Linked DNA regions of Lepisosteus oculatus. The main gene of each other region encodes a partner of the protein of the gene in region 4 in a complex. Links are inferred from orthologs where the notes say so. Each region holds a gene or a part of one and is shown on either strand. Other genes may lie near its edges.

Region 1 (7,551 bases), on a different chromosome or scaffold from region 4:
CATGCAATAAAAACATAAACCTCATCCTAATGTAAGTTTTTGAGATAGGTTGCTTTAGAAAGATTTATGGAACTTTCAGTGGCTAAAGGTCCCTGATGCCACATAATCAACTTTTTCAGAGCTTTGGGTCCACGAGATAGCCAGTCACACACGCAGAGCAGCCTTTACTAAGTTTCTTTGAGACATTTGATTCTCAGGGGTGAAACTGTAGTGTTTTTCAGGGATACTGTATAAAAATAAAATAATGTGAATGCTGACCTACTGGGTTCAATATCTGGGACGAACCCATTTAGTTTAAAAAGAAATTGAAAAACTGAAGGACGCTCCATGATTTTTAGTACTGCTCTGCAGTCTCACTAGCAAAGGATGGGTGAGATCTTTAAGGCAGTCTTACAGACTGTAAAGAAAAATGTGGGAGATATATTTGACATACAAAATCTGTCATGCATCAGGCATACTTCTGGACCTGTTTTTTTATTTCTTAAAGGAAATACTATTAAAGGAAGGAAAGCCTTTATATCATTTTACACAAAAATATTAACCAAGAAAAAGAATGACTGGCCTAAGGCATCTGTCTATGTGGAGTGCATTTTTTCTCTGTGTTTGTTTGGGATTTTTCTAGGTGCTTATCTCACAGGAACAACACCAAACAGACAAACTCCCAATATTAGAGCTGAGCTAGGATTGTGGATTAGAAGGAAGCAGGCCTAACCATACGATCCTTCTTGATGTTCATGTAATGAGTCTTTCAGCTTCACAATGCAAAATAAGGTTCTCCTTGAATGAGTGTAACATATTCATGTTTCACTTTATCTACCCTGTTGCAGAAATTTAAAGTAAATTAATGTTTTTTTAATGTCATGGCAAGAACTCTCAATTTTAAACTTTAATCATTTTTCCTAAGTAAATTCTTGTGAATTAATCACTAAGTCTAATAATTCAAAACCCCCATTCCGCATTTAGAGACTTGACTGAGAAAAACAGATGATTTCAAGAGTGGATGCGAAATAAAATATGGAAGCATCATAATCTCCTAGCACTTGCCCTGCAATTTTCCTTTACAATGAAAAGTCGACAATAGGAAAACAAGTTGAATACAAATCACAAACATAACATTCCTAAACCTTCAATGCCACTGATTCATTGCAAACAAATAAGGCAAGCAGAAAAAAATCCAAATGAAACAAAATTGTGCAGAACAAAAACTAATGTAGTAGCTAACCATGTCATTCTATTTAATACTGAGTTAAAAATCACAATATTAAAACCACACAAAATAATTGTTTAAGATACATCAATAATGACAGGAAATGTAGTTTATTGAAGCTTTTAGAGCAGTTCTTCAGTTGCTAAAGTATTTTAAGCAATGACATATTTTTTGTTCATAAAAGAAATAGAGACATGCATAAATGTTCTAAAACCTCTTCAAAATAGGAAGTACAGTAACTTTTAGTAGTAAATATGTACAGTAATATTTGGAGGAAATTAAAGATTTCATAGATTTTCCTTCTAAAAGATTAACACATTTATGTGATTCTTTGGATAAGCCTTCAAACTTGGTGATTAAAATCCATTAATTTGCATTAACTTCAAAGTTGTACACTGTGTGGATCATCAGTAAGAAGTGTATTTCGAAGAATGCCTAAAAATATATCATCCCAAAAATGTTGTATAACATCTATTTTTTGTAGGCTGACTACTGACCCTTTTCTTTGTTTTGCATCTTGTGGAACAGCAAATGTGTATTGAAGTCAATATTGTGAACCAACACTAATCCCAGCAATCACAAGCTGTTAAAGTGCAGTGTGTTTCATTTTACACCTTTCCTCACAAGACAGGAGTGTGAAGAGGAGGAGGCAGCTACTGTCTTGGCCAAGTTCTTAGCCTTTATACGAGAATGCATCTTGGCATTCCATTCTGTTAATCTAAACTAATGTGTTTTCATCAGATCAGGGACTAACACTATGATGGGATTCTATGGATAGATGCTTTTTATTGCAGTATTTTTCACTTAAGCTATTTTTCTGTCTTGAAAATGCTAATCTATTTCAAATAGTGAAAGTAAAAAATAAAAAGACACATAAACCTTACATTTAACAAGTACCACTTTTATATTTGCAGACGTTTAACCTCCATTGCTACCACTATCAATCCCAACTGATATTTTGCAAATGAAATACAGTACATCAATCCTTGTTCTAACCCCTTTATCCAATACAGGGTCAAGCAAAAGAGTACAAGGTGGGATATACCTTGGATGTGGTGCCAATCCATCGCAGGGCACACTCAGACACAGAAACGCACACGCTCACGCTCACACCAGGGCCAGTTTTCCCAGAAGCCAATTAACCTACCAGTATGTTTTGGGACTGTGGGAGGAAACCAAAGAACCTGGAGGAGACACATGCATATCCAGGCAATTTTTTATAATTCTAAGAAAGTCACAAATATTTCCCTGTAACACTGTTGTACTTTGCTGTGTGGAGGAAACCCACATAAACACAGGGAGAACATATACTGTAAACTCCATACAGATAGCACCCTAGGTCTGGAATTGAACCCAGAACCCTAATGCTGTGAGGCAGCAATGTTAATCATTGTGCCACTCAGTTTCACCCATCATTTTATAACCATGATTTTCCTAATTACGGCACATAGAGTCAAAGGCAACAATATTTTTTCCCACTTAATCAGTCATTTTAAAATATGCAGAAAATAATAATGTTATAACCAGGAAAACATATTTTTATATAAGTTAAACTTATCAGATCTTAAAAAAGATTAAGTGACATTTATTGTTAAAAAAAGATTGAGAAACATCATAGTTTTAGATACTTTTTCTCTTCTCTCATGTCTGGCCGGGTCATGGCCTCATCGCATATAGCTCATAAATTCAATACTACTTCCACTTAGAATAACTGTATTTTATATGACTTAGATTTTTATTACATGTCCCTGACATATTCAGGTTTCTTTGGGATACACTGTCCAATTTTACATTTCATGTTAGATTTTTGCAAAGAAAAGGGTTATCTTTTCTACAGACCAAACTTCTTCTCATTTAGCCTACAGTAGGTCAAATATGATACCAGGAAATCCTGCACTGCTTCCCTTCAGTCTGCAAAACATGAGTAGGCCTGGTTGAAAAAAATAGACAAGCAATAAGAAAATTGAGAAATTATTATCATTTACAAATATGTACATCAATAACTTTCTTTTTGTGTGGTGCACCTAGTGTACAAAAGCAGCATCCTAGCTGTGATTCGAACCCACAATCCTTCAGTCTAGAGTTTTAACCAATGCTCCCCCAGAATTCTAGCATTGATGTTGACATTAAATCCCACACAATGCTGGGTTCCAATTAGGATGTCCTTAAAAAAACGAGGACATTTTAAGAGAAAGCTAACGTGTGTTGAGATAGGGGAATGTCTTGTCTAACTAACTTGCCAGATTTCTTCTAATAAGCAATGAGGACATTAGATATTATAAGCATATGACATAGAATATTAAGATTTCTATAAAGCATTTGATATGGTCCCTCATAAAAGGTTGATTTTCAAATTAAAAGTCACAAAGATTCTGGGCAGTGCCACAAATGTGAGTAGTGGAGTGTAGAGATTCATTTTTCCTGAGCAATGGGAACAATCTAGATTCTGGTATAGTTAGCAAACTAGTCAAACTAACAATTTTTTCAATAAAACTAAAATAGGTGGAGTGGGAAACACATAAACAGTGTCAAGGGAGTAACAGAAAGACTTATACAAAATCATGGATTGAGCTGACACTTGGCAAATTAAATTCAAGAATAGCACAAAGTATTTGGAACATACTCCATTTGTATCACATTGGTGCTTCTGATGTGCAAAAAGTTACACACAAAAGGGATCTGGGTGTTTAGGTAGATTTTTGTATGGCCTCATCAAGACAATGTAGGGAAGGAAAAAAAGCCCACACAATGCTTGATTAAAAAGACTGGAATTTAAATTCAGATAATTTATGGTAAAGGTCTACAATGCACTAGAAAGACTTCAACTACAAAATTGTGTTAAATTTTGGTCACCATACCACACAAAACATCATACATCCCTATAAAGACTGAAGAGCCAAAAAATAAGAGCCAGGAAAAGTGTACTGAGATCTAAAACAGGCCTCTCAGCTAGGTGGATGAAGCCCACACTCTGGAAACTTTTTAGATTCACTTAGCTACTTGAAAAGAGCACTTTGGGCCGAATGCCCCCTCATGTTGTTTGCAGACTTATTGTGTTTTTAGGTAATAAAGGATATTTACTTCTTCTCAATGTGAATGATACGCAGTTAATCAAAAATTCCAAGTTACCTAAACAAACTTAGTTTATTAAGCAACTCACGTTTGGTCTAAAAAAGTTCAAACTGAAAGTGACGATAGCGGAGTAGTAACTACTGTAACTTCAGGAAACTATCACAGTGAGCAGGTTGTTTGTCGGGCACTAAGACCGAGCGGACGTGCTGTGATATTGTCAGTTACACTGTAGGATCTGAGTGACAACAGGGTGAAGTTTAAATGAAAATAAGTATATTAAGAAATCATTAATGGTCAGGTAAGGAATCCTACTTTGTTATTCCTGATTTGTGTTTTATGAACTTAATAGGCGTTCTTTCGATACCGCACACAAAGATTTTGTGAGGGGCCTAGAAAAAAGGGAGAGCCAGGGACTCTTCCTGCGCTATGTGCGGGATTGAAAGTCACCACGAAGGGGGCGAGGCTGTAAGTTGATTCCCGTAGGACAGAGAGAAATATCGGATTTAGAGTTAATATAAATTTGAGGAACTGGACATAACAGCTTGTATGTTATATTCATTGAAATAAACGTAAAGTACGATTTGACGTTTTAAAATTGTAATTGCAGAAAATAATACATTTCAAGCATTGTATACTTTCGCTATTTTTTATAGCGTTAGTCATACTTCAATCTGTCACTTAGGCTACATTATAAAAATGTGTGATGCTTCAAAATATCTGTGTACATTAGTACGCGATTGAGTTGTGACGTTTTAAATTTTTAATTCTCACAAGCCTATTCTCAGTAGCCTCTTAATCCCCTATACCCCTATCCCCTATACTCAAATGCAAAATCTGTAATTTAGTTTTGTTCAGACGGTGAAGGTAAAGGCTAGGTGTCAGGTTTTCCTCTCTTATATCACGCTTCTAAGTGGCGGAGAACTATTAACAAGCTGCTTTGTACTGCATCATAATTAGCTTGATCACTGCTGTTTAACCAAGTTGTAGGAGAAGTCACATGAGATGTTTTGACGTGCCTTTCTCGTCTCGAACTTGAGCATGATTTTAAACAGTGCTGATTCATATTACAGTATGTCTGTGCACAGTTTACACTAACTGCAGTTAGATAATTGAAACTGTCTTCCTTACTCATGTGACGCTGGTCTGGTTGACTCTTCCTGTTGAAAAAATGCAGCGCACTAGCCATGATATGTAGAGGTTCTGGCTGTTTTCTACAGTCAACCCCTTGAAGTACTCCAATAAAGTGCTTTCAACATGTGATTTGTATTTCGTCAAATGCTTTTAATCGCGTTAAATTGATATCAAATTGTAACTTAGTCGTTTTTTATAGGAATTATATAAAATTCTATACTCTCCATCTCCAACAAGGAAATTTAATGATTTACTAAGTGTAATAAGCAGTTTTTTATAACTATTTTACTATTTATAGCTATTAAATGCAAATGTATCTGAATTTAACTGGCATCCCATCCAGAGAGTACCCTGCCTTGCACCCATTGCTTGTCAGGATCCCTTGCAACCCTGAATTGGATGAGGCAGTTAGAGGATGGATGGGTGTGATGAATTGGTTAAAAGCAACATCCGAACGCATGGCAAATTCAACTTCAGAAATCCACGAGAACCCAAAATAAATCGATACCATTTTTGTTGCTTCATTCTTGTAATCTAGGTCTTGGAATCCTCTAATCCCATTATATCCATTTTTTCATGGTGTAATTTTGTGAAAACATTGGAAATTACATTTTGGGGAAAGTTAATGACTCATGTGGAGACTTGAAATTACACGTGTGTCACAAACTCTGGATGACTGTTCCTTAAAATTTTGTAGCAGTATTTACATTTGGACCTTGGCTACATCCCTTATGGGTAAATAGTTGATTTAAATGTACATAAAACTTTCCACTTATCCTTCTTTGTACAGCTTTCCTGAAATGAGTTAAGGGCTCAATTTTTCTTGAATGTCCTATTCATTATGAGTTGAACAAGGCATGTGATGCTTGTGTCAGAGTTGAACTTTTTCTGGTCAAGCTCACTCTTTTTCTTCAAGCAGAAGTTTTTTATAGGGTTTTTCTAAATAAAAACAACATGACTACCATTCTTGTGCTCAGTTCACCCACAAAAATCACCTCCATGTGATTGTATTTATCATAACCTAAGGTGGTTAAGCAAAACAAATTCTTTCCTGGTTGAGCTGGTGTGAAAAGGACACTGTACTTTGATCTTGAACGAGAAAAGAATGTGTTTTGTGTGTCATTTTAAATCTCATTATTATCAGTGGCACATTTTACATTACTGAGCAGAAAAACGTGAGAGATTGAGAGTCATCATGAAAAGCTTTTTAGATTTTAAAAGGAAAATTAATCTCACATCCTTTAACTCTTAGTCTGGGACAGCCAGAACCTTCAGAATATTCTCACGCTCAAAAGTTTTGTTCACATTTTCTACATTATTGAAACAAGATTTTTATCATTTTTCTGATGGGTCTGTTTTGTTTCCCCTCAATTTTGTATTGATAAATGCAATTATTCTGAAAGAGTCACTTAAGAATTTCCATGAACATGCCATAGCTCTGTGAAAGAAAAAGATAATTAGAAAGACTGTGAGCAGGGAGTTTTGAAAAGAAGTTCTTTCAATCAGTGCAGGCAATTTCTTTAGCTTCTGTCCTCTGAAACCAAATGTTTCCGTCTCCTGGAGTCTCAGAATCATTTGTCCTTAGAAAAAGCGCTGCAACTTGTTCAGTCTTTACATCATATTTCTCTACATTTTCACATTCCGTATTCATTGCAGCTCTATTAAGTGTACAACTGAGCATTGTAGTACCTCTTCATTGTCAGTTATAAAGTGCTTGATTGTATATTGTATTTCCCTATGTGATGTTTGGAAATTCTGTTCTAGTGTACTGTGTTCTCACTGTGCCTTCCATGCATTTAATTTGGAATACATTAAAAAGATTTTTTTTAAAATCTTATTGAAGGGAAAACTAAATCACATGCCCCTTAACTATTTGTAAGGGACTACTAGACTACTTCTTTAGACTATTCCCACACCCACAGAGCACAGGTTGAAGCTGCAGAGAATTATGCAGATAGTATTACAAAAAAATAAAAACCGAACAAAGGAAAACTGAAACATATATGTTTTATGCAGTGTGTAAATCACGAAAGTGTACATATAAGGAAATGCTGTTGTCCTACTTCTCCTTTAAAGTGCTTATGTAGGCACACCAGAGCCCTTTGGGATGCCACAATAGACAGACCTCATTCAGTACCTTG
Region 2 (7,605 bases), on a different chromosome or scaffold from region 4:
CGGGACGCCTGCAGATTAATTTCCTTAATTCTTTATTAATCCTACATACCTCCATTGTTGGACAGGAATTCTTTGATGCGCTGCTTTCAAAGCATTATTGGAGCAGTGGGGTCTTGGCTACGCCTTTTGTGCTTAAAATGATTCTGTAGAGTTTCAGCCATCACAGGGGGTCACAGGGGAGCTGGGGCCTGACCCGGTCAGCACCAGGCGCAAGGCAGGATATACTCTGGACGGGACGCCAGTCCATCACAGGGCAGACGCACAGTTACACCCGCGACTAACCCACCAGTGTGTCTCTGGAGCCCCTGGTGTGTGTCTGTGTCTGTCTGCCCTGTGCTGGACTGGCGTCCCATCCAGAGCGTAACCTGCCTTGCGCCCTTGGAAGGGGCTCCGGCTCCCCAGCGACCCCCGACTGGATGAAGAGGTTAGAGAATGTTAGGGCAACCAAGGCCAGTATCTCAGGGTCTCCCATGTGGAGTAAGAGAGAGTGATCGAGACAACAGGCGCAAGCGAGGTTGGGTATCCAAAGCCGAATGGTAAGCCAGGGCTGAGGTCCAGGAACGAGAAACGGGATCAGAAGCCGAAGGCGTCTGCAGGGAAATCCAATCCAAATCGTAAGGCAAAGTCGTGGTCAAGGAGCGAGCAGTGAGGTGCGAGTCCAAAAGGGCCGACCAGACAAGGCAGGTAGAAGCTCTAGACAAGAAACGGGTACCGAGCCCCGAGCAGTGCGCACTGAGGGTTCAGGCACGGCGTGTACGAGGAACCGCCGGGGGTGATGAGTCACTCGTGCGGCGGCGCTTGTGGTTAAGGGGTATCCGCTGCAGCCGATCAGCTCGTTGGCGAGAACTGCACTGAGGGCCGCTGGTGGTAACAGAGAAGGGGTGATCCCTCCGGCTCGGCCGCTGTCCCGCCGGGAGGCAGAGGCAACAAGTCGCACGGTGCTGCTGAGCACCGGCTGGGCCCTGCTTCTGTCCCGCCGCGTCACCTGAAGGGCTCATCCAGGGCACCCCGACCTGCCGGACACGCTGCACTGAGGCTTCTGCTGGAAACGTTACCCCGAAATAAGAAGGTGTGTCAATACTGTGTTGCACGTCGGAAAACAGCTCTTTTATAGGAGCAAAACCAAGCAAGGCAGCACTGACTTCAATTAGACAAAAAACTAAATGAGAGACAGGAATAACAACGTTCATTGCAAAGTGAAAGTAAAAGCCCCCCCAGAAAAGAAACAAGTCCTGTGTCTGTTTGAGGTCTGGCGATCATCAGTGTCTCCACTGATCCAAAGGTTGGGTCTGTCATTTGTCTTGTTCTTTATGGGTCCAGGGGTCAAGGGATCCAGGGGTCAAGGGGTCCAGGGGTGTGATTTGTCTCAGGTTTCTTCCACAATCCCATATATACTAACCAGAGCACCAGTTTATATAGAGAGGACCACAGCTGCTGTTAGTCATGGTAGTAATAACCAGCAGCCCGAGCTCTGGCAGCTGACAGCCTGTCACATACTGCTACAATAGGATCACTGGGGCAGGATAGTTTTAGGTTTCTGGACTTTGTGGGCTTGCCTGTGGGTTGGATCTCTGCGGCAGACACTGCTGGTGTACCCTGAAAGAGGTACAGTACTTTACCCCCATTTGCTCCAGTCCACCCACCCGTATTAGTCTGCATTGCTGTGATGGACTAATGTGCTGTCCAGGGCTACCTGCTACCTGCCCTGAACTGTCCTCTCCGACGTTTACAGGTGAGATCTGGTTTTACAGCAGTGGTTTAACTCACAACCTCCCAGGCTCTGCCAGACCTTGGCTTTGTCCTCAAAGACAAAGGACTCCATGGATTCCTGGCAGCTGGCTGCTCCTGGGTGAATTACGAAGGCAATGACCTTGAATTCTCAATTGTCGCCAGCCGCCGCTGTCTTACTTTAACCCCTGGCCGGTGGAGTTGGCTGCTCTCTGCAGTGAGAGAACAGGCTGGGTGGGGCCCTGGAAGAACAGAGGAGTTCCCCCAGGAGGAAATCACCCCGACAGCTCTGGTGCTTCAGCTGGTGAGGCTCTCTGCAGCACACTGCATCAACAGCCCTCTGCTGCCCTCAGACTCCTGTGGACTGTGTCCATGATCGTATTAAACACAGGAATTTAATTAATAATAATTAATAATTGCTTACACTTATATAGCGCTTTTCTGGACAATCCACTCAAAGCACTTTACAGGTAATGGGGATCCCCTCCCCCACCTGGATGATGCGACAGCAGCCATAGTGCGCCAGAATGCTCCCCACACACCAGCTCTCAGTGGGGAGGAGAGCAGAGTGATGGAGCCAGTTCAGAGACGGGGATTATTAGGAGGCCATGATTGGTAAGGGCCAAAGGGAAATTTGGCCAAGACGCCAGGGTAACACCCCTACTCTTTTCGAGAAACACAACACACTGGGATTTTTAATGACCACAGAGAGTCAGGACCTCGGTTTTACATCTCATCCGAAGGGCGGTGCCTGTTTACAGTCTAGTGTCCCCGTCACTACACTGGGGCATTAGGACCCACATGGACCACAGGGTGAGCTCCCCCTGCTGGGGTCAGTGTCAGTGGAGGTCAGTGTGTCTGTAGCAGGGCTGCCCAGTCCTGGTCCTGGAGAACCAGTGTGTCCGTAGCAGGGCTGCCCAGTCCTGGTCCTGGAGAACCAGTGTGTCTGTAGCAGGGGTGTCCAGTCCTGGTCCAGCAGGGCCAGTGTGTCTTATCATTATTATTATTATTATTAATAGTAATAATTAAACTGATCTCCTGTCCCAGCCTGAGGAACACTGAGCCTTCTCTCAGTAAAAATAAGACAGTGTGTCACTGAGGAGCAGTGAGTCTGTCTCTCAGTAATGTGTTTTTTTTGTTATTTCTGCAAATGTCCAATAATGTTTCTATTGCTAATGTTCCGTTAATTGCTTCTATTTTGGCAACTCTGTAATTCATCCGTCGTGCCAGTAAAGAAAGTGTCCCATGACGTCTAATTTCAGACTGTAACACTGGCGGGACAGTACTGCCCAGTACGGTAGTTCAGCCACTGCGTGGACGATGCTGCCTGATGTCTATTTCTCTTAACCCAGAGCCAGCACGAATTGTCCTGCTATTGTCCTCGTCTTAACTCCCGCAAGGCGATCAGCGTGATGGCAGCGCCCTCTGCTGCCCAGGCGCGGAAGTGAGTACTGACAGAAGAGAGAAGCGCACACGATTATTCACGGATTTGACCTCCTCCGTCAAAACGGAATTCGGACTGGTGTCCTGGATGGATAGATAGAAACGAGTCATGTATATACTTCACACAAGGGACATGCACAGGAACACATTAATACACAAACACACGCTACGTCCGTGTTCCCCTGTTCTGCCTGCGCAGAAGCTCTTCAGATCCCGGGCGGTTTTGGTCGACCGGTAGAGTTTTCCTGAGGCGGCTTTTTCAAACGCACCGGGTTCTGTTCTGGCTGAGAGGAGTCGTCGACCATCATTTCCGATCGCCTCTTTAGTCTGAGTGTGTACAGGTCTCCGACAGACGGTGACTCCCTCTGCATAGCGGACATCTATAAAAACATAAGAAAAGCTGCAAAGGAGAGAGGCCATTCAGCCCCAGTCTGCTCGATTTGTCAGTAATTAATTTATTCCAGGATATTATGCAGCTGTTTCTTGCAGGAAGCCAGGCTGTCAGCTCCTGCAGTATGGCTTGGTAACGTTAGAGTTCCACACCCCCACAACCCTCTGGGTAAAGCAGGGCCTTCCTGTTCTTGCTTTTAATAGGAACTTCCATGCAGTCTGCTGGGGTGACATTGTCAGGACCTTCAAGGATTTGAATACTTGAATTAGCTCTCTTTGTAGTCTTCTCTGTTCTGGACTAGACTCTGTTCTGGACTAGATTCAACTGGGTGGTGTGGTGGTGCTGTGGCTTAGGATCTGTGCCTGTGGCTGAAAGGTTGCTGGTTCAAATCCCATGGATGGCAGAGGAATCCTACTCCACTGGGCCCCTGAGCAAGGCCCTTCACCCCAGCTGCTCCAGGGGCGCTGTATAAATGGCTGACCCTGCACTCTGACCCCCAGCTTCTCTCCCTGTCTGTGTGTCTCATGAAGAGCAAGCTGGGGTCTGTGAAAAGACAAATTCCTAATGCAAGAAGTTGTATCTGGCCAATAAAGTCATCTTATCCTATCTTAACTTCCTTCAGCCTGTCGGTGTAGTTCACTCCTTTATTCTCTGGAATGTGTCTGGTTGTTCTCTGGATTGATTTCAGAACAGCAATATCCTTTCAATAATGTGGTGACCGAAACTGAACACCATATTCTAAATTATGCATTACTGGTGCGTTATACTATATATTTTAACATAATATACCTTGACTCAACGCACACAGAAATGCCTCAACGCACACAGCCTAATACAGCTTTAGCAATACTGTAAGTCACCTGTCATTACAATTAAGCTTTTTTGAGTTTGAACGTAGGCGTTGTATAGACTACATTTCCCACAGTTCCTCGCTCGAGGGAAACAGGAAGTCACGGGGTAAATCACGGGATCCCAAAAAATTGGCACTTCACATTTGCTCGCCGTCACTGCAGCTGAGAAAACGGACTGTGGTGATGGCGGTGGAGACAGTCTCTCCGGATTGGGAGTTTGATCGTTTTGACGACGGGTCTCAGAGTAAGCGATCTCGTTTATGTGGGTTACGGCAGACGAAGTAACGGAGAGTTTGGTGTTTTGTTGGTGCCTGTGTGAAGGAGAGTGAAAGCGGAACTGGTGAAGCTTGGTAGTTGTATCTCGCACAGAAAGCTGGCAGTCAGGTGCGACCTGTGTTGTTTTCGTCTGTCGGGACGAGCCGTGGCAGCTCGAAGTAATGTTTATTCATTGACAGTTGTGCAGTTGATATTTGTGAAGGCGCAGAAAAGCATACCGCGACGAGTAAGGTGTTTTTGTACTTCCGAATTTGTGGGAGCAGAGCCGGCTGTCGTAACGCCAGAGTGATCAGAGCTGCCGCTGTGTTAAAAGCCTTTGGGTTTCGGCTGCCTGTCGTCCGGGGGCTCTCCGGTGAGACTCGGCTGTACGTCTGAAGGTGGGTCATTGGTGTCGTGATTTGGGTGCTGTTTAGACCCGGCGCAGAGGTGCGTCTGGTTTCTGGACCTGGAGCTGTGTGTCGGCTCGGGGGTGTGTCATGGGGACCCCCCTCCTCCTGGCCCAGCGTGTAGCTCTGTGTAGCAGTGGTCGCCCATCCTGAGGGCGAGAGTTTGGGCTCTGAGGTCCAGGGCTGTCCTGGACCGTGAGTCTCCACACCGGATATGCTGCGGGTTCAGAGCCCGCTCTCCTCTGAGGCGGCTGGACGCGATCGCCGGATCCAGCCTCCCAGACAGGCTCGACGGGTCGAATCTGTATCTGTGCTTATGTACTGTGCACTTTTCCGCCCGTATTCACCCGAGATTAGCACAGAATAAACCGTTTCGCTTCTCCCTAGGTCTTTCGCATCAGCACTGTTATGCATGTAGTAATACTAATTCTCGCCGTCGCAGCAGCTGAAAACGGGCTGCGGTGGTGAATAATATGTTGCATAGTGAAGAAGTTGCACGCCTCAAAATGCAACATATTATTCATCTAGAACCGTCTTGATTGAATTGAGCCTACCTTTAGTGCCCCTAAGGGAATTTGTCTTGCACATCAAGAGCTCATAGCATGTAACGTGAATGACAGTAACACAATACAGCAACAATACGGACGACAATCAACCCCATCCCTCAAGCAGAACTCAGTTATACATCATAAGATTGAAAAACAGACGATTAGCTAGTACAGGGTCTAAAAACAATAACATGATCCCTACCTGCAAACTCTGTACATTGCTCAACAATTGAATGTTAGGTGTGGAGGAAATAAATGCTCTCTTAGTCTTTATGCAGGGGATCTGAATTTCTGGTACGAAGGGAGCAGGAGAGCATCTTCTCAAAAGAGGAAAGGATGAGAGGGGTCTAAATTTGATCGCGAGATAAATAATCGCCCCGTTAGGCATGTTTTTGAGTTCAGGAATGTGCCGGTAATCTTGCCACCCGTCCAGATTACTCTGCTTGACTTGTTTTTGCTCTGCAAGGACACAGCAGCTCCCCAGCTCTGAACACAAAAGGTTAGAATAAAACTCGCATAAGAAAAAGTGTCAGCATTGTGCTTTCCATATGGAAAAACCTTACCTCTGTATTGAAGGTCCAAGATCATTTATAATCAATAAAGATCTGGCTTTCGTATCTCTTTAGAGAATAGAAGTTCTTTGCCATCCACTATGAAAACAAAAGGAAAGGAATCTGTAGCTTTTCGGTCAGTGGGTCAGGAGTTCTGGGGTCAGCTGGGCTCATGTCAAGGGGTCAGGGGCTGGACTGTAAAAAGGTGCCGTCCAGAATTGCTGTGGTCAGTAAAAATCCCAGGGCGTTTCTTGAAAAGACCCTGGTGGTGTGTGTACTTGACAAGAACTTGATTGTGTTGCAGCGGTTTCAGTGTGGTTGAAGGAAGTTCTGTCTAGCTGCTGTGAAAGAACCCTTCTACACGGGACTTGCAGTTCATTTTCCTAGGTCTAGAAAAAAAAGCCCTGGAGCTCTTTCTTTTTTGCCTTTGCAGTCTAGGTCAGGAGACACTGTAGTGCTGTTAACATAATGGGTGAATTGAGGGCTTTACTGGGCATGTGGAACTGAAAGTAAAGGAGCTTTCGCAGCCTTCTCGTTCGGTGTGCAGTTCCAGTGCGGTGTTGTAGTAGTGTCGCATTGCAACATCCTTTACAGAAGAACCAGGAGGACATGCTGCCGTTGCTGATGGTTCTGTCTGTGGAAAGGTGGCGTGGGAGCTTGCGGATGGTAGTGTAACTGTTTTGTAAGGATGAAGGAGACGGCAGTCCGTCAGCTGTTTTCTCTGTGTTGTGTCTTACACAGTGTGGAGAGGGCTTTGGCGTTGTGAGCCGCACACTCAGATAGTTGGCTGTGTTTAAGATGAAACGGCAGCGGCGCGCTCTTGTTTATAAGGCAGGAGCCCGTGCTGGGTCGTCCTGCTTGGCCGTGTGTCTGGAGAGGCGGGCTGTCGGATCTGCGGGACAGAGGCGCCTGCGCTCCTGCTCGACAGCAGCCTGGAGTGGAGCGCCGGTGGGCAAGCTGCCCAGCCCCCATGACACAGTCCCGGGATCCCCAAGTAGCATCCCCAGGTTGTGCAAGAGATGAGCAGCGCAGGGTGGTGCGCAGGACGAGCTCCCTCACTCGTGGTCGTGCAGTTCCTGTGTGAGCAGGAGGAAGTCGGGGAGGGGGTGCTCCGACAGCGGACTCAGATTTCCAGATGGCAGAGTTGTGTCCCGGAGACGCCCTGTAGGCAGGATTCTGATAGGCAGAAGAAGGCGGCATTTTGTGTGAGCCCTGCAGCCCGAGGCTGTGCTGGATTGAGCTGACTCCTGCTCGCTCTCTGGAGAGCTGGAAACTGGAATCTCTCACGTTTCGATCTGGGAGTCTTACTCCAGGACAGTTGCTTCTTTGCTATTGCTGGCGTTTACGGGTGTTTGGGTGTGTGCAGGGCCGTGTGTGGGTGTGTTCGGGGGGGGGTATGCTGTTGTGTGCAGGTGTGTGTTGTGTGCCGAC
Region 3 (8,079 bases), on a different chromosome or scaffold from region 4:
GCTCAGGACAGCCCACTGAGCCGAGTGTTAAATAAACTGTTATAGGTCACAGTATTACATCTTGTTTAAAACCTTAAAATAACATTATATCAACATAGCATAGGGATCTAGGATGGTACACTTCTGTGCTTTTTGGCAACAGGATGAATCATGTGTTTTTTTAAAGAAGTACCCAAAGACTAGAATTTCAATAAAAGCACACATCTGAAATTTCAAACATTTGGTGCCCCCCAATAATCTGCTTTTCATATCGTACCTTTAAAAGCAATCATGGATATGCTGATCTGATGAAGGTAAATTATACTGTTGTGTTGTGTATCGATAAGTTAATTGTTATTTCAATGTTGTTTGTGATTGCAGCCGGTGATGATTGGATCAGCTTCTGTGGGGGCGGGGCTGAGTTGGCACAGGACCCTCCCACTGTGTGTGATTGGTGGAGACCGGAAGCTTTTGTTTTGGATGACAGAAATGTAAAATCGGCTGCATAATATGTTCTGTTAAAATGGCTACAATTTCAATAAAAACTTTTTTTATAGAAGTGTATCAGTTAAACAATGAGCAGTTGTTCTTCTGTTCTTCTGAGAGTGCTTTGCGTGTTGCCCACAAAGGACAATAACAGTTTGATTAAAGAGAGCAGGACACGGATGTTTTTATTAGCTTTTCTTAGAAAAGTATTTCAAAGAACTTAACCACCGCTGTCCAGCCCAGCTGAGGGCGAGTCTGGGGTCAGTGCTCTCTGGAGTGGAATGTGTCAGCGCGCTGCACAGCAGATTCGTCACTTGCAGAGCAGGCTCCAAGTTCGGCACAGAGCAGGCTCGGTCGAGACAGACGCAGTGCACGAGGGGGGAGCCTGGGCGCGTTACTGGCAGGCTGTGGGTTCGAGCCCCAGGGGGGACACTGCTGTTGAACCCGTGAACAAGGCACTTCACTCATGTGGATTCATGAAAACACCAATACAAACATGAACAGCTTTGGATAAAAGCATTGGCTACATTATTAATAATAAAGTTCACATGAAATGAAGATGTTTATAACAACCTTCAAGAACCTGTGTTAGGCAGCACATGTTCCTGGGGTGGCAGAGGTGTGTATTTGTGCCTGTAAGGCTCACCTCTCTAACTCTTCCAAACGGGCTAGATGGGCCGCCGGCTCTCTTCTTGTCCATATCCGTTCTTCTCTTGTTAGGAAGAAGGTTTGCTCTTTTCAAAATTATTTTACAGCTGTGAAGAGCATGTTCGTGTGACGTGTGAATAAGCAAAGATATAGAAACCAGAGGAGTGAAAGGTGGTCAGATCGACGAGGAAAAAGAAACCCCTTCACAGAGCAAGTGAATTGCCCCAGGGCTAGCATACGCAATGAATGCTCAGCTAAGTAAGGAAAGGTAGGCAGAACGGAACACTGTTGGGGCTGTGCCTAACTTAAACCCTTTTCTTCCCCAGTGCCATAACCATAGAAGTACCTTAAAGTGTGAGACGGCATCTCAGGGATAGAAATGGATCCATTTAGAAGATGAAAAGGCATGAGCACATGTGCTCTGTTACTCAGATGTTCAGGAAGGAAGAAACACAACAATGGTAAAAAATGATCCAGTCTCCAAGGTACCAAAATTGAAGAGTTCCACATAGTAGGAGAATTTCAGACAAACCAACCTGATGGTGGATATGACACATGAACCACTTGCAAAGCATTGATTCAGTTTGATAGGCATTGTATAAGCTATACTGTAGCAAGTGAATGTAAAGAGTCACAAGATTTAAACAAGAAATGTATCTGGACTATCATACAAGACATTAGAAAACAGCTATAAATTGAATGGTTCGAGATTAATCTGAGGAAGCAAAAATACAACTGTGTGTACTACATCATATGATTTGCAAGCACTGTCTGGGATCTAAAGCATATTGCTGTTTCCAAATGTGACTTAAATACTCTCTTGAGCAGCACTCTGTCTGCAGAGTCATCAACACAGAGTGCGTGCACACTCACACATAGAACTGACAGCCTGCGGGCATCGTGAATGAGCCTACTGAGGTGGTCAACAAAACTAACCACACGGGTAGAAACTCACGAACAAATATTAAACGGCGTCAGTATTATTCAGCTACGTGCAACATGTGTCGATCCTGTCATCCCTTGAGCCTCCGTTCCAACTTCCTTAATGACAGGACAGTCCTCTCTCTCTGGTCCAAGGGAATTGCACTGGATGATGGCCCTACAATGTCTTGATTTGGAGGTTTTGGGGCAGTTTTGCATGAAAGGTTAACTTTGAGGAAGCACCCCTTTTAAGGATAGGTTAGTATTCAGTAAGGAGGGTAATAACATGAATCAAAGTAGCCAATAAGCCCCATGTAGCTAATAGTGTGATGCTGAGATCAGTAGGAGCCCCCAGTGAGCTTTCTAATCTACATTAGTGACCTAATCCTGGGTGGTGTCAGATAATTATTCAAAATTAGGTTGAGAAGCAAACCCCACTCATGTAGGAAGAAATGCGGTGCAGGTATTAAATGCAAATAAGATTGTACATTCTAAATGTCAAGCAGGATGCTTAGAATTGCTGTAAAAGGTTCTGAGCTGACATTCAAAGATCTCTGGACCCCCGGTGGCTTTAAAACTGCAACATGCTTCTGCAACCATATTCAGAGTACTTCGCTCAGTTCCAGTCATTATACTGCATGTCAGAAATACATTGGGAGGAATTTCAAGAAGGGCAGCAATGTTTTCCATTCGAAAGGAACGACAAACAATTGGCAAACGAATGAGAAGGATGTGATGGAGATGTTCACAGTCCTAAAGGAACACAATAACTAGCACAGCTTCAAGCTTAGCAAGGACACTGTGACCAGAGGACACAGACACAACACGCAAATGTGTTAAAGACAGAAAACACTGTAAGAGTGTGCGTGTGGCTGGTACACACAGAGATTAGAGTGTGGGTTTTTTTTTAATCGCATTTTGCCTTGGAATCTTTTAGGAGGAATGCAGCAAAAGTGGCCAAATTAGAAAAGTTTGATAGTGAAGCTGAAGTGCAGGTCATTTCTGGGACATTTAATTTGATGACGATGTGCAGACTGCACATTTTTAAAAACAGATTTAGCAGTAATAACACCACGTCTTTCACATTTGCCTCGTGAAATGACTGGATTCCGGGCCAGATCGGTCTTGTGAGGCACCTTTTTCAAAGACTGCAGGCACAGGAGGCCGTGTTGACACCCAGCCAAAAAGTGGGTGAACCCCCGAGCAGAGGGTATTTGAGGTCATGCCAAGAGAAGGAAACGGAACAAAGCTGGAAGAGATTTTTTCAAAGAAAACCTCAGGAAACTAAGACTGGGGGTCTTTTAAGGTCGTATACTGCTGGTTGGCAGGAACCACGAGGAGCAATTAGAGATTTCAAGGAAAAAGTGGAGGGGGAGGCGGGCTGGTCGGAGGTGGAAGGCTGTGCTTCAGTCAGTGTGCAGGAGCTGTCCGACACGGCTCTGCGCAGCGGCTGCCACACTCGGCCCCCCCATTTCACAGCGAGGAAAACAAACACGCTAGTTTAATAAAGGGAGGAGGACAGTGTCTCTTGTTTTCTCCTCTCTTTTTCACGCCTGTTCCTTCTTCACTGTCCTCACAGGTCAGATATCCTGAGAACATCGAAGGAGCAGAGACCTTCCACAGCACAGGTCGATAGGCCGTATTCATTTAGAGCCATTGGTCACTTACTGACTTGACCTTTTCTGTTCCGGATTGGAAACGTGCTTGACACGTGACACAATATGTTTAACGCAATGTGAATCCATTAAGAAATAATAGACATGCATGTGTGATGCGAAACAAAATAAATATTGATAAATATAGTCAAATATACAGTCAGCAATCCCAATTGAGCAGGATAATTGCTGTTGGAATTAAAGTGACTGTAGCTGATAGCTGTGAATTTTCATTTTTTGACCCAGTAACAAAGACTGACTGAGGTAGCGGTTTTCATTATCAGCACTTTTACTTTTAAATACGACTTCTACCTAAATGCCGTGTTTTTAATTTAAAATCCTGATGTCTTGAAGCCTGAAGTTCAATATTGGGCAGCCCCTTACAATGACTGAAGTATATAATATAGTATTGATGCATCTCACGTCTGTCTCCTGTTGTAGTGAGGCTGTTTGTTAATTCTGAATGCATATAAGCATGAATGTATACTTTACAAAAGAAATTTGTTGCATTTAGCCGTGCTTAATCTGGTACAATTACTTTCGAGAACATTTAAATCACAACTGTAGAATGTGCTACCATCTAGTGGTGGATTGGCATGATAGCATTTTGTTCATCAAAATGAAACGTAAACCGACGTCTTCGCGGAACACCAATTACAGGAATACCACGAAAAGAAAACGTCCTGACTGTGTGCAATTAAGCGATTGTTGGTTGACAGCTTTTTTGTGATTCTTCCAAAAAAAATCATTCCTCTCAGTGCTTGTTATATCCGGTCCTAGAAAGATTCGTATTGTAGAGCTACTGTATTAAGTTAGTCAGTTAAATTATGTCTGTGACTATCATTTGAGATTCTCCTGTGTTCCAAAACGGTGACATTTTAGACCTCAAAATAAATGTCCTTCTTTTGTTAAAGAGTTTAATCGAAATACGACTCTAACCAAATCTTACATTCTTTTCCCACACTGAGACCCTTTACTCTGTTATACTTTGCCTCTGTTAGTCAACGTTCACACAATTTTCAAACATATTTCACTCCGGACTCGCGTGAAGTACCAAACTATCTAGCTACAGCTGCCTGCCAATCCGTCAATACCAGCGAACAAAACAATTAATATTTAGTTAATATTTAAAATTTCTTAACTCTCATTTTCAATACACAAAAATGTTTATTAGCAAATAGCAAAATCACTGCAGTAATACATCGGGTGGGAAAACAGCAATTACCACGATACAGTACTGTGGTATATTCGCTCTGTTTTTTATCTTTTGTTTTATATATTTATATTCGCTTGGAAAATGCACAAAAGCCTGATTGTTTCCGGGTTGCTGCTAATCACGTGAGCTGCACGTGACTCCGCCGCGTGACGTTCCGCAAATAAAACAGGAAACACCGGAGCTTGTGTGATTCTCAGACAAGTGTGTGTTTCTTTCCTGCTTACAAATTAAAAAGTGCAAATAAAGACATGGACGAGGATGGACTGCCAATCGTGGGATCGGGAATTGACCTGACAAAGGTTTGTGTTGTGTAGGTCAAAGGTGCATGTGTTCTACGAAACAAAATGTGTCGGTGCCTGACAAAATGATTTGTCTATCACTTTGCGGTAACGTTTTTGCTGTAAAAGGACGTTTTTAGGGTGCAGTTGGAATAAGAAAATAATATGAAATTCGCAGTGTAGTGTAAGACAATTCGATGCAGTATTTTACTAAATGTGCACGCTCGACGAAGGCATATACTAAAAAAAACTACTACTAAAAAAGAAACACTGATAAGACGTTGTTTCGTGTTGCAGGTTCCAGCCATTCAGCAGAAGAGAATCGTTGCGTTTCTCAACCAGTTTATTGTGCACACGGTTCGGTTTCTCAACCGGTTCTCCACGGTATGCGAGGAGGTAAGTGCTGCTCCGCTTGTGTTAATTGTGTCGCTGGCTTCACGCTGCTCCGATGTGTTGTGCCTGTGTAAGATTGCACGGCTAAGACCACTTGCTCTGCCTGTCTGACACTGAAATATGTTACCCCGACATCCTAGCCAAGTTTCCTCCTATTAATCCCCATCTTTAAACTGGCTCCATCACTCTGCTCTCCTCCCCACTGAGAGCTGGTGTGTGGGGAGAGTACTGGTGCACTCTGCTCTCCTCCCCACTGAGAGCTGGTGTGTGGGGAGTGGACTGGTGCACTCTGCTCTCCTCCCCACTGAGAGCTGGTGTGTGGGGAGTGGACTGGTGCACTCTGCTCTCCTCCCCACTGAGAGCTGGTGTGTGGGGAGTGGACTGGTGCACTCTGCTCTCCTCCCCACTGAGAGCTGGTGTGTGGGGAGTGTAGTGGTGCATCATCCAGGTGGGGCTGCACACTGGTGGTGGTGGAGGAGAGTCCCCATTACCTGTAAAGAGCTTTGAGTGGAGTGTCCAGAAAAGCGCAGAAGTGTAACCAATTATTCTTCAGCTGGAGACCGGGACTCACACAATGAGACTGAGAATTCTCATGTGCAGCACTGTGTGTGGAACTCGCAACCCAAATCCATCATAAACTTTGCTCATCTTTTCATTATTTGCTTTTGTTGTGTATGTGTACACTACTGCACAGCGCATTGAGTTTCTTGAAAAGTGCTGATAAAATTATAATAATAATGTCATTAGCTGTTATAATCCACAGATAGTTAAGAGAAAGATGATTTTTGTCATTTGGTCTCTCTTTAGGGTATATTTTGAAAAATAAGGAGGTACCTACATCTACCATTTCCACTTCCCTTACAGTTTTTTCAACACTTCATTCAGTATGGTGTTGACGTAAAACACTGCATTTTCTCATCTGAATTTGTCCTTTTAATTATATTTTAAATAACAGCAGAGGAAACCCTTCTTAACAGTAGCGTATTTTTAAATTAAACTCATTTTGTACTGATATGCACAGGCTGTTCATTTGATAGACTATGCAAAGATTGTTTTCTCTACTTTTATAGAAACTAGCAAGTGTATCACTTCGGATTCAGCAAATTGAAACAACTCTGAATATTTTAGAAGCTAAGGTAAGTATGTTACCTCTCCATCAGACCCTGGTAACTATAGTTAAATATAGAGTACAGTTTCATAAAGAACCCTGATGCACACAGTGCATGTTACACTGTAACTTACAGTAGTGCAAAGTTAAGACACAGGGAAAGATTTACCACTAACACAGAAAGACATCGCCTGATTCAATCATTGCCATTGTCAAATGATTTAGATAGTTGATAAAGAATAAGTTAGTGTCTTTTATGCATTAATTAGAACCCCTCGTTCAACCATAGTTCTCAAGAACCCAAGTCCAGTTTGATTTCTACTGTAGGTTGAAGTGAAGATTAGAGACAATTTCAAGTCACTGATAAGATAAGATCACTTTATTGCCATATACAATTTCTTGTATGAGGAGTTTGTCTTTTCACATACCCCAGCTTGCTCTCTATGAGACACACAGACAGGGAGAGAAGCTGGGGGTCAGAGCGCAGGGTCAGTCATTGTACGGCGCCCCTGGAGCAGCTGGGGTGAAGGGCCTTGCTCAGGGGCCCAGTGGAGTAGGATTCCTCTGCCGGCTGTGGGATACGAACTGGCAACCTTCCAGCCACAGGCGCAGCTCCTTAGTCACGGAGCTACTGCACATTTAAACAAGTAATTGTTCAAATAAGAGAGCTAATTTGTGATGGCTAGGGTCTTCTGATTTGGATTCCAAAAGATTAATTGAGCACACGACCTGTTTAACTGATCACAGTGAAATTGTTCCAGGTCTATGGACACGTATGATTTATTGAGTATCTCATATTTAAATAATTTGGCCCTTCCTCTCCGAATAAGTTAGAAATGTGCAGATTGCTTAAAGTCACAAGGAAACAGTCAACACAGGGGAATGACAGTAACTGTTATTGTGCCACTTTCTGGGGGTTTAAAACTTTTACAACTTTAAATGGCTCACATTTCCAACGGGCGCTTTTATGTTGGTTTTCCCCTATTAGCTCTCCTCTATTCCTGGTCTGGAAGACGTGAGGGTGGAGAGGTCCGCTCAGAGACAGGTGTCGGAGCCCAACGGTCCAGTGTCCACGCCAGTGCAGGCCCCGTCTTCGGCAGTCCCAGCCCCCACTGAGGTGACTGCTGCCCGAGGGGTGACCCCAAAAGCTGGACTTTTGTTTGTTCTGACTTCTTGTTTTCATTCTTTCCAGTAGGATTCAAAATCGTTTAGAGGACATTTTGGGGGTTTGTTAGTTAGTTTTGTTTCTGAGATCTCTAGAGAGCAAACAGCTGGCCGGCTGTGAACGACAGAAGGGCAGGCATCACTTCCAGACCCTGAAGGGTGATCCCCCATTCCTGGAAGTGGGCTTCGACTAACCTCCTCGCCTCTCTGTGCCCCTTTCTCCTCGCCGCC
Region 4 (7,206 bases):
TTCATTACATTACATACTCACATTACAATAGAAGTGACCTACTGTACTTCATCCACCACTGAAGGGCATCCCTCACCTGGGTGAGGCGCAGCAGGTCAGTATCCCCACTCCACAGTAGAGCAGGGAGGGGGGGGGGGTCAGGAGGGAGGCCAGATTGCATAAACCCAGAGTGGTATCGAGTCAGGACACCAGGGTTAAAACCACCTCTCTTTAGTCATGGCACCTTTATTGGCCCATGTAGTCCGGACCTTAGCATCTGATTGGACAGCTGGCAGCTCCAGGGACAGCAGCGAGACCTTGGTCATCAGACGGGAGTGCTGAGTTGGAAATTGAGGTCCAGAATGAAGAGTACCAGCTATTGGTCCACAAATACAACTTGCTGAAGGAGTTTACTGTAGAGGACTCCCATCCCAGCACAGACAGGAGAACTGGGCCTTCGATTTGCCTTCTGTCAGGTGAGATCAGGGTACAAGGCAGTATACATTTGCATAAGTTTTACCAAAAAGACGGTCCGTTTTATCATTTTCTCGTTTGAGGTTAAAATACAATGTGTTGCAGAAAACATTCCATGTGTGCCTACAAGTCTATTTTTGCTCATTAATGGAACTATAGTAAATAGGTGTGTGTTAAACCAAACTGTTGGTTGTGACTGTTGAATCGCAGGATCACCTACCTCAAGTGGATGTTTGCTCTCCTGAAATGCATTAGTGCTCTGATAACACCCATGTTTGATCTCTGCCAGTGGTAATGCCAAGATAACATTCAGCTGATTGAAGAGCACTTGGAAGGCTAAACTACTGCTCCTTGAGCACTTGCAATTTCCACATAATACATGTCAGAAGCTTTAGAGCATTCATTTTAATGCTATTTTTCAAGAGAGAAAATGGTAAGAAATAGTCTGAACTTGTCCCAGTTCCTTTGGCAAACTAATAGCAAGCTCACTACAGGTGAGGCCCTCAAACTGGGGTTCCAGGTTCTTCTACTGGTTTTTGTTCAGTCTGAGCTCTCAAATCATTCATTTTTTCCCTTAATAGACCAAAGTATAGATTTAATTTAAACTCTGGTTTCAGTTACTAAATACAGGAGGTTGCCTTTTTTTTTTACTATTGTTTCATAAGTACAATCTCCAATGTTTAAGAGCAGTTTTAGTTGGAAATGGGTGAGGGAATTCTTAATTAGCAACTCGAGGAGTGATTGCATAAAGTTCCCCGTCCTAAAGGTGTTGGAAATAATGAACCTCTCACTGGGGTGGTTTTGAAATCAAGGACTGAGTGCAGCAAAAAAAAGGTAAACCAGCTAGCAGATCAGTCAGAGGCACCAATTAGCACGGGAGATTAAGGGCTCAGCTGGAACTGTTGATGAGTAAGATTGGTATTATAATGGGCATGGGAACGGCCCAGTTAATCCACTTTCCATTTGATTTCTGTGGAAGAGAAAAGCCCAGCCCGCTGTTTGTGAGTGGGCGTCTTCAATGTGGAGCCGCCCTGCCTCTCCCAGAGCTGGAGAGAGGAGCAGACAGCACAGAGCTGGCCCCACATTGCACTGCAAGGACGGTGTGCTGACAGCCCTGAATTTGGTTTGCAAACCTGGAGGGCAGCGAGAGCTCATCACCCGGCTGGACTCTCTCTCTCTCCCGCTGCTGTAAAACAACAGCATCAATTCATAACCCTTGCCGTGTCTGTGAACGCAGAAGCTGAGCCATCTACTGTACATCTTGAATGGCCTGGACTCAAATTCCAAATTCAGTTTTTCGTAAATGTCTTTAGGTTTAATTGATTTCTGTTTTAAACTTTGTTTTAAAATTCAAAAACATCCCCTATTCGTTCCAATTTTTAGAACCTCTAAACATAGATAACATAAAGTGTTCCATTTAGAGCTCTTGTCTAGTTTTACCTCTGTGGAGTTTTGCCTTTATTTTGATTTTTCAAACAACAAAATAAGTGTTATTTTTTAATCGATATCAGATTCTAATATTTGTGTTCTGATATACTTTGATATGGTAATAAACTGTTCCAGTACAAACAGCTACTCCAATGGCTCCTGAAAAAAGTAAGGAATTACTGAAGTATTGCACAACATAGAGAAACAGTTTTTACCTCTGACAGACTTAGAGGTCTTAAAATAAATAATTTCTGCTCCAGTTTTTACAATTTGACAAATAACATGTGATCTGGCCAACAAAGACAACAAGGATGTGCAGTATTCAACAAATAAGAAATGGTCTAAAAACTTCAAACACCACCCAGCTCTGCAGTTTGTAACAAAAGCTTTGATCCATGAAAGTCTGTTTTAATTTTCTAACTACCCCCCAAGCCAGGTGTTGTGGTGGAGGGTCATGTTAAAGGTTGAATGCATTTAGCCAAAGGGCTTGTGTCAGAAACAGTGTTCTTTTACACAAGGATCAAATTGAGACTATTGTTTCCAGCAAACACTCTAGACTAGCATAAGATATCTGCAGTGGGTTTAGTGTTGATGAACAACACTGTCAGGAAAAGATGACACATAAGGACATTATTAGTACCCAACATAAGGCTATGACTGCTAATAACTCAGCAAGGAAAACCAAAATACAGATGTCACTTTGATACAAATCTTCAATTAGTGTTGTGTTTGTTTGCTTCTTCGTTCGCAGTAAAAGCCCCCTGCAAAGACACTTTCATTGTGCTAACCGCCCCAAATCCCCCAGCGCGCACCACCACCACAATCCACGATGACCAGGTACTTACTGTACGCTTCCAACTGCGAGAGCAACAGTACAATTATTACGGACTTGATTAAAGCCATTTAGTATGCCTGCCCAAGAAAACTGACCATCTTTTTGTGTTTGTATGAAACAGCTCTCAAGGCAGGGATGTCTAAGGACAAGAGCAGCGAAATGCAAACGTCAGAGAACAGGCTAACAGACTTAATCCATGTCTGTAGAACGAGATGGGCAAATTTATCTGATTTGTGTTTTAAACCAAGCTCTTCATGTTATAGTTATTCTAGAGAATGAAGACTTATTTTTTAGTGGCGTTTGTTGTACGAGTGCAGGCTCGTAAATGACTCACTCCAGTCAAGCCAGAAGCTGCTGGTCCTAGCTCTTTATTTGCTTTTCTCTTGGGTTATGTGAGGTGTGTCTGCATATTTTTATTGCTCTTTTTAATTGATACGCAAGGGCATGAGGTAGTCGTTCAAAGAGTCATTTATTTTTCATTTAATTTATTTAAATTTGTCTTTAATCTGAGATTTCTACGTTATTTATTTACATTATAAGCATGCTTAATTTCTGCATAAACCACGGTTAGGTTTATATCGTGCTTTGATGTAGTTCCCTGATTTTCTAAAAAAAACAAAAATTAAAAAGTCTCTCATGTCTATTTCCGTTGCTTTGAAACCCCTCAATTAATCATTTAGTAAAATTCTTATGCTTTATCCTGCTGATTTAAACTTAAAACATATTACATATTACATATAAGGGATATATATGTGTGTATCGTTTATGAAAGAAACTATTGTGGTACAATTTAGTAATAAATAGTGCACACTTTTAATTCAATTTTAAAAGATAAAAAGTATTTAAGTACACAATTTACGTAATTGTAACATGAAAAATTTCTAGTCGTTCATGAGTGTCTGCTGGGAAAACAACCGAAGAGATAGTGAGATTGCTGTTGAAAATTCAAAAGCCCTTTAGTGACACCTGCAGTGAAGTGTTAGTTTAGTTTTTTTTTTCTCGCATCCACAGAACTCGGGCAGCCTCTTTTCAGACCAGTGTGCCAACTTCACAACTTCGAGGCAGCGGGTTAGCAAGCGATCGTTGATCGTGAAGGGGGATTGTTTCACGTAACAACATAAATCTGGCTCTTAATGAAGTTATTGTACACGCTGCAGTGACTAATCTGAGGAAATGATGAGCTACACTAACTGGGCGAGAGAGCTCCGGAACTTCACGTATCCCACAACTCCCAGCCCGACACAAGGCCGGAAGAATCTGCCTTCAGGAATTCGGTGTAATAAAACATCTCCGAAGCGAAAAGATCTCTTCAGAGAGAGTAGAAAAGAGGAATTCAAGGGACGGCGTAAGCCGTAAACCTTTTTTGCACCTATGGTGATTAATCGTACTGCTGTTTTATAAAGCGCACCAATGAACACCGTGTGCTCTCACTTGATGGTGCAGCAGCACCGATAAATAAATCTGCACACACTACTACCGGGTCATATGATTCCAGTCCAAGTGTCATGTGATCGTTCTGTACAACGGGAGACTGGAAGGGGACTGTGGTGGGTTTCATATTCCAATATTTCATATAGGTTTTATTTTTTTTGCAAGAAACAAGCAAGGATAAGGTAGATAATTTAAACTTGTTGCTCTATCGATGTTAAGAAAGGGACCGTCTGTTTCGAGCTGCCTCTCATTGCAAAACTCAAGGCTGACAGGGAAATTAGGAAGTAAGGAGAAATAATGTACAGTAGGAACAACCATCTTCGTGGAAAATAAATCGATAGATGCAAATCTGAAGCCGCAACTCAAACATAGACAGTTACGTTAATTTAAAGATACGTAAAGATATACGTGATCATTTAAGATTGTTAACCTTTTAGGAGCCTTTATTTAATAAATGTGTAACAGAGTTCTTAACTATAGTTAACTGAGTTACGTCTACGAAAGAACAATCCGGCTTTTGTTAAAAACCATGAAATTGATCAGTAGTAGTCAGTTCCTTCCTACCAGGCTATGGACATGTTATTAATATTCATGCTTATCTGTTTCAAGATATAAAAATATCTCAATGGAATATCAGCACCTAACGTTTTAGTGCAAAAGACTTACTCCATAATTGTAAGTGAGTATGGAGCATTTTTTTAATCTTACTGTACCTGTGGAGTCCATGAGACATATTTCTAAAGGATGTCATCTTGGTCGTAGCGCTGTAGAGACTGTACTGTGGTTTGTAAGACTCTGTAAGAATGGGCCCATAACACTGCTTGCAGCAATGTGCCAAGTAATATAGATGAGTACCCTGTTTGTCAAAATCAACCCATATATTCAATATCAGTCAAATCAAATCAATATATTTTGTGGAAAAAAATAACAACAGCGATTTAAAAAGATTAAATTCATTAAGGAAAATATTAGAGCAAAGATTTGTGGTTGATCTGATTCCTCAAAAAGTGTAGTTCTAGCTACTCTAAATGATAATTCTGCCATTTATAAGGTTTGCTGAACGATTCTCATTGCTTTGTTGCTGTCTGTACAGATTACAGTAATCTTTTCAAAGTGTTAATACATTTATGCTCAGCCCAATTATGTGAAAAACTACCCTGACTTTCATGAAGTGACATAGCTGGCTTATATGCTCCTCAATATTAAACTTTGATCTTTGGTTACATTTTGTTCGCTTGGTTTTGTTTTAGGTCCCGTGCCTCTACCAGATGAGCTTCCTCCGGACTGTATGACTCTTTGACGGTGCCAGGCTGAGGAATGCTTTAGGATATCTTTCTGGCTCTGCAGCTTTGATCTGAGTGTCAGCCATGGTAGACTTTCTAGCGGAGAATAATTTGTGTGGCCAAGCCATCTTGAGGATTGTTTCCCGAGGGAATGCGGTCATTGCAGAACTCCTCCGACTCTCGGACTTCATTCCCAGTGTCTTCAGGCTGAAAGATAAAACTGACCAACAGAAATATGGGGATATTATCTGTGATTTCAGTTACTTTAAGGTAAAGTGCGTTCAACTGTGTCTCTTTGACAGGTTCCATTTGACCTTTATGTTAAGATAAGATCACTTTATTGGCCCTATACAATTTCTTGCATTAGGAACTTTTTTTCTCACATACCCCAACAAGCTCTCCATGAGACACACAGATGGGGAGCGAAAAGCTTGGGGTCAGAGCGCAGGGTCAGCCATTTATACAGCACCTGGAGCAGCTGGGGTTAAGCGCCTTGCTCAGAATCCCAACGGAGTAGGATTCCTCTGCCAGCCGTGGGATTTGAACTGGCAACCTTCCAGCCACAGGCGCAGATCCTTAGCCACAGAGCCACCACTCCACTCAATCATTTCTTTAAATGTTCATCTGCCACCTTGTTTTTACTTGAAAATGTTCAACTTCGGCCTATTGCTTGGTTTAAGAACAGATAGAAATGAGCGAAGGCGGTTTGGCCCATCTAACCCATTTGGTAATTAAAAGCTATTTGATCCAAGGATCTCATTCTTCTGTTTCTTGAAAGAAGCCAGCATTTTGCCTTCAACAACATGGCTAGGTAGCTTGTTCCCTACCCCCTAACCCTCTGAGTAAAGAGGAGTCTCCTGTTCTCCAAACAATCTGAAGTGTAATGAATGTGCTTTTATGGCAGTGAGAGAGAGGGATGCAATAGCTATCATGATGTATAAATATGCTTTATAAGGAATCTGTTATGTCTTTTTTTCTCCAAGGGTCCAGAACACTACGAAGGCAAACTGGAGGCCAAGCCAGAGCTCCAGGATTTAGACGAAGAATTCCGTGAAAATAACATTGAAATACTCTCACGCTTTTACCTTGCATTTGAAAGTGTCCACAAATACATTGTGGATTTAAACAGGTAATTAGATCTTCCTGAACTTCATTATTTTTCTGGTTGTCTCTTACATATTTAGCATTTAATTGTGACCTTGGTGTTCAGTCCCTGTCTTTAATATAGCAGGAGAACTATAGGTGTGACATGTCACTGATTGGTATTTGTGCACAATTTTGCTGCATGGATATACCAATGGTTCAGAGTGCATCAACTTATCTTTGACAGGTCTTTCTTCAAAGGGTCACAGTACCAAGAAGTACATTGTGTTATAATGTGGAAAATCAATGTGATGCCTTCTAAAAGCATTACTAGAAGCAGGATGTGAACGTTGTACTTTGCAGAACTGTAGACCTGCATGTTTCTCACACGGATGAATCGCGTTGTGTCTTTGTAGGTATCTGGATGATCTTAATGAAGGTGTTTACATTCAGCAGACATTGGAAACCATTCTATTGAATGAAGATGGGAAACAGCTCGTGGTATGTTTGTGTCGTGCATTTATTCAACAAAATTAGTTGCACGTTTAAGCTCTTTCTGAGAGCTGGGTTTCTGGAGAACTGAACATAATCTTTAACATTGTAGAAATACAGCACTGTTTTATTCACTTTTATCATCTGCTTTTAACAATTGACTTTATTGACTGTGTTTTATATATATATAGTGTGAAGCTC

Evidence for each region.
Region 1: washc5 (region 4) and wash1 share a complex: the UniProt entries of both Homo sapiens proteins name them as parts of the WASH core complex. The link is inferred for Lepisosteus oculatus from reciprocal best matches to the Homo sapiens genes WASHC5 and WASHC1.
Region 2: washc5 (region 4) and washc4 share a complex: the UniProt entries of both Homo sapiens proteins name them as parts of the WASH core complex. The link is inferred for Lepisosteus oculatus from reciprocal best matches to the Homo sapiens genes WASHC5 and WASHC4.
Region 3: washc5 (region 4) and washc3 share a complex: the UniProt entries of both Homo sapiens proteins name them as parts of the WASH core complex. The link is inferred for Lepisosteus oculatus from reciprocal best matches to the Homo sapiens genes WASHC5 and WASHC3.

The regions. Positions count from the first base shown.
Region 1 is NC_090702.1:11,587,081-11,594,631, reverse strand, and holds the start of wash1 (WASH complex subunit 1), read left to right. Parts: upstream 1-4,443; 5' UTR 4,444-4,569; coding exon 4,570-4,577; intron 4,578-7,551. UniProt on the Homo sapiens protein: Acts as a component of the WASH core complex that functions as a nucleation-promoting factor (NPF) at the surface of endosomes, where it recruits and activates the Arp2/3 complex to induce actin polymerization, playing a key role in the fission of tubules that serve as transport intermediates during endosome sorting.
Region 2 is NC_090702.1:56,844,915-56,852,519, reverse strand, and holds the start of washc4 (WASH complex subunit 4), read left to right. Parts: upstream 1-4,524; 5' UTR 4,525-4,596; coding exon 4,597-4,657; intron 4,658-7,605. UniProt on the Homo sapiens protein: Acts as a component of the WASH core complex that functions as a nucleation-promoting factor (NPF) at the surface of endosomes, where it recruits and activates the Arp2/3 complex to induce actin polymerization, playing a key role in the fission of tubules that serve as transport intermediates during endosome sorting.
Region 3 is NC_090702.1:54,884,397-54,892,475, forward strand, and holds the start of washc3 (WASH complex subunit 3), read left to right. Parts: upstream 1-5,033; 5' UTR 5,034-5,153; coding exon 5,154-5,204; intron 5,205-5,480; coding exon 5,481-5,579; intron 5,580-6,646; coding exon 6,647-6,712; intron 6,713-7,672; coding exon 7,673-7,801; intron 7,802-8,079. Other genes in the region: nucleoporin Nup37, read left to right, coding at 361-474. UniProt on the Homo sapiens protein: Acts as a component of the WASH core complex that functions as a nucleation-promoting factor (NPF) at the surface of endosomes, where it recruits and activates the Arp2/3 complex to induce actin polymerization, playing a key role in the fission of tubules that serve as transport intermediates during endosome sorting.
Region 4 is NC_090705.1:7,631,208-7,638,413, forward strand, and holds the start of washc5 (WASH complex subunit 5), read left to right. Parts: upstream 1-4,167; 5' UTR 4,168-4,263; exon of another isoform or gene 4,264-4,329; intron 4,330-4,801; exon of another isoform or gene 4,802-4,822; intron 4,823-5,397; 5' UTR 5,398-5,514; coding exon 5,515-5,700; intron 5,701-6,413; coding exon 6,414-6,559; intron 6,560-6,929; coding exon 6,930-7,014; intron 7,015-7,196; coding exon 7,197-7,206. UniProt on the Homo sapiens protein: Acts as a component of the WASH core complex that functions as a nucleation-promoting factor (NPF) at the surface of endosomes, where it recruits and activates the Arp2/3 complex to induce actin polymerization, playing a key role in the fission of tubules that serve as transport intermediates during endosome sorting.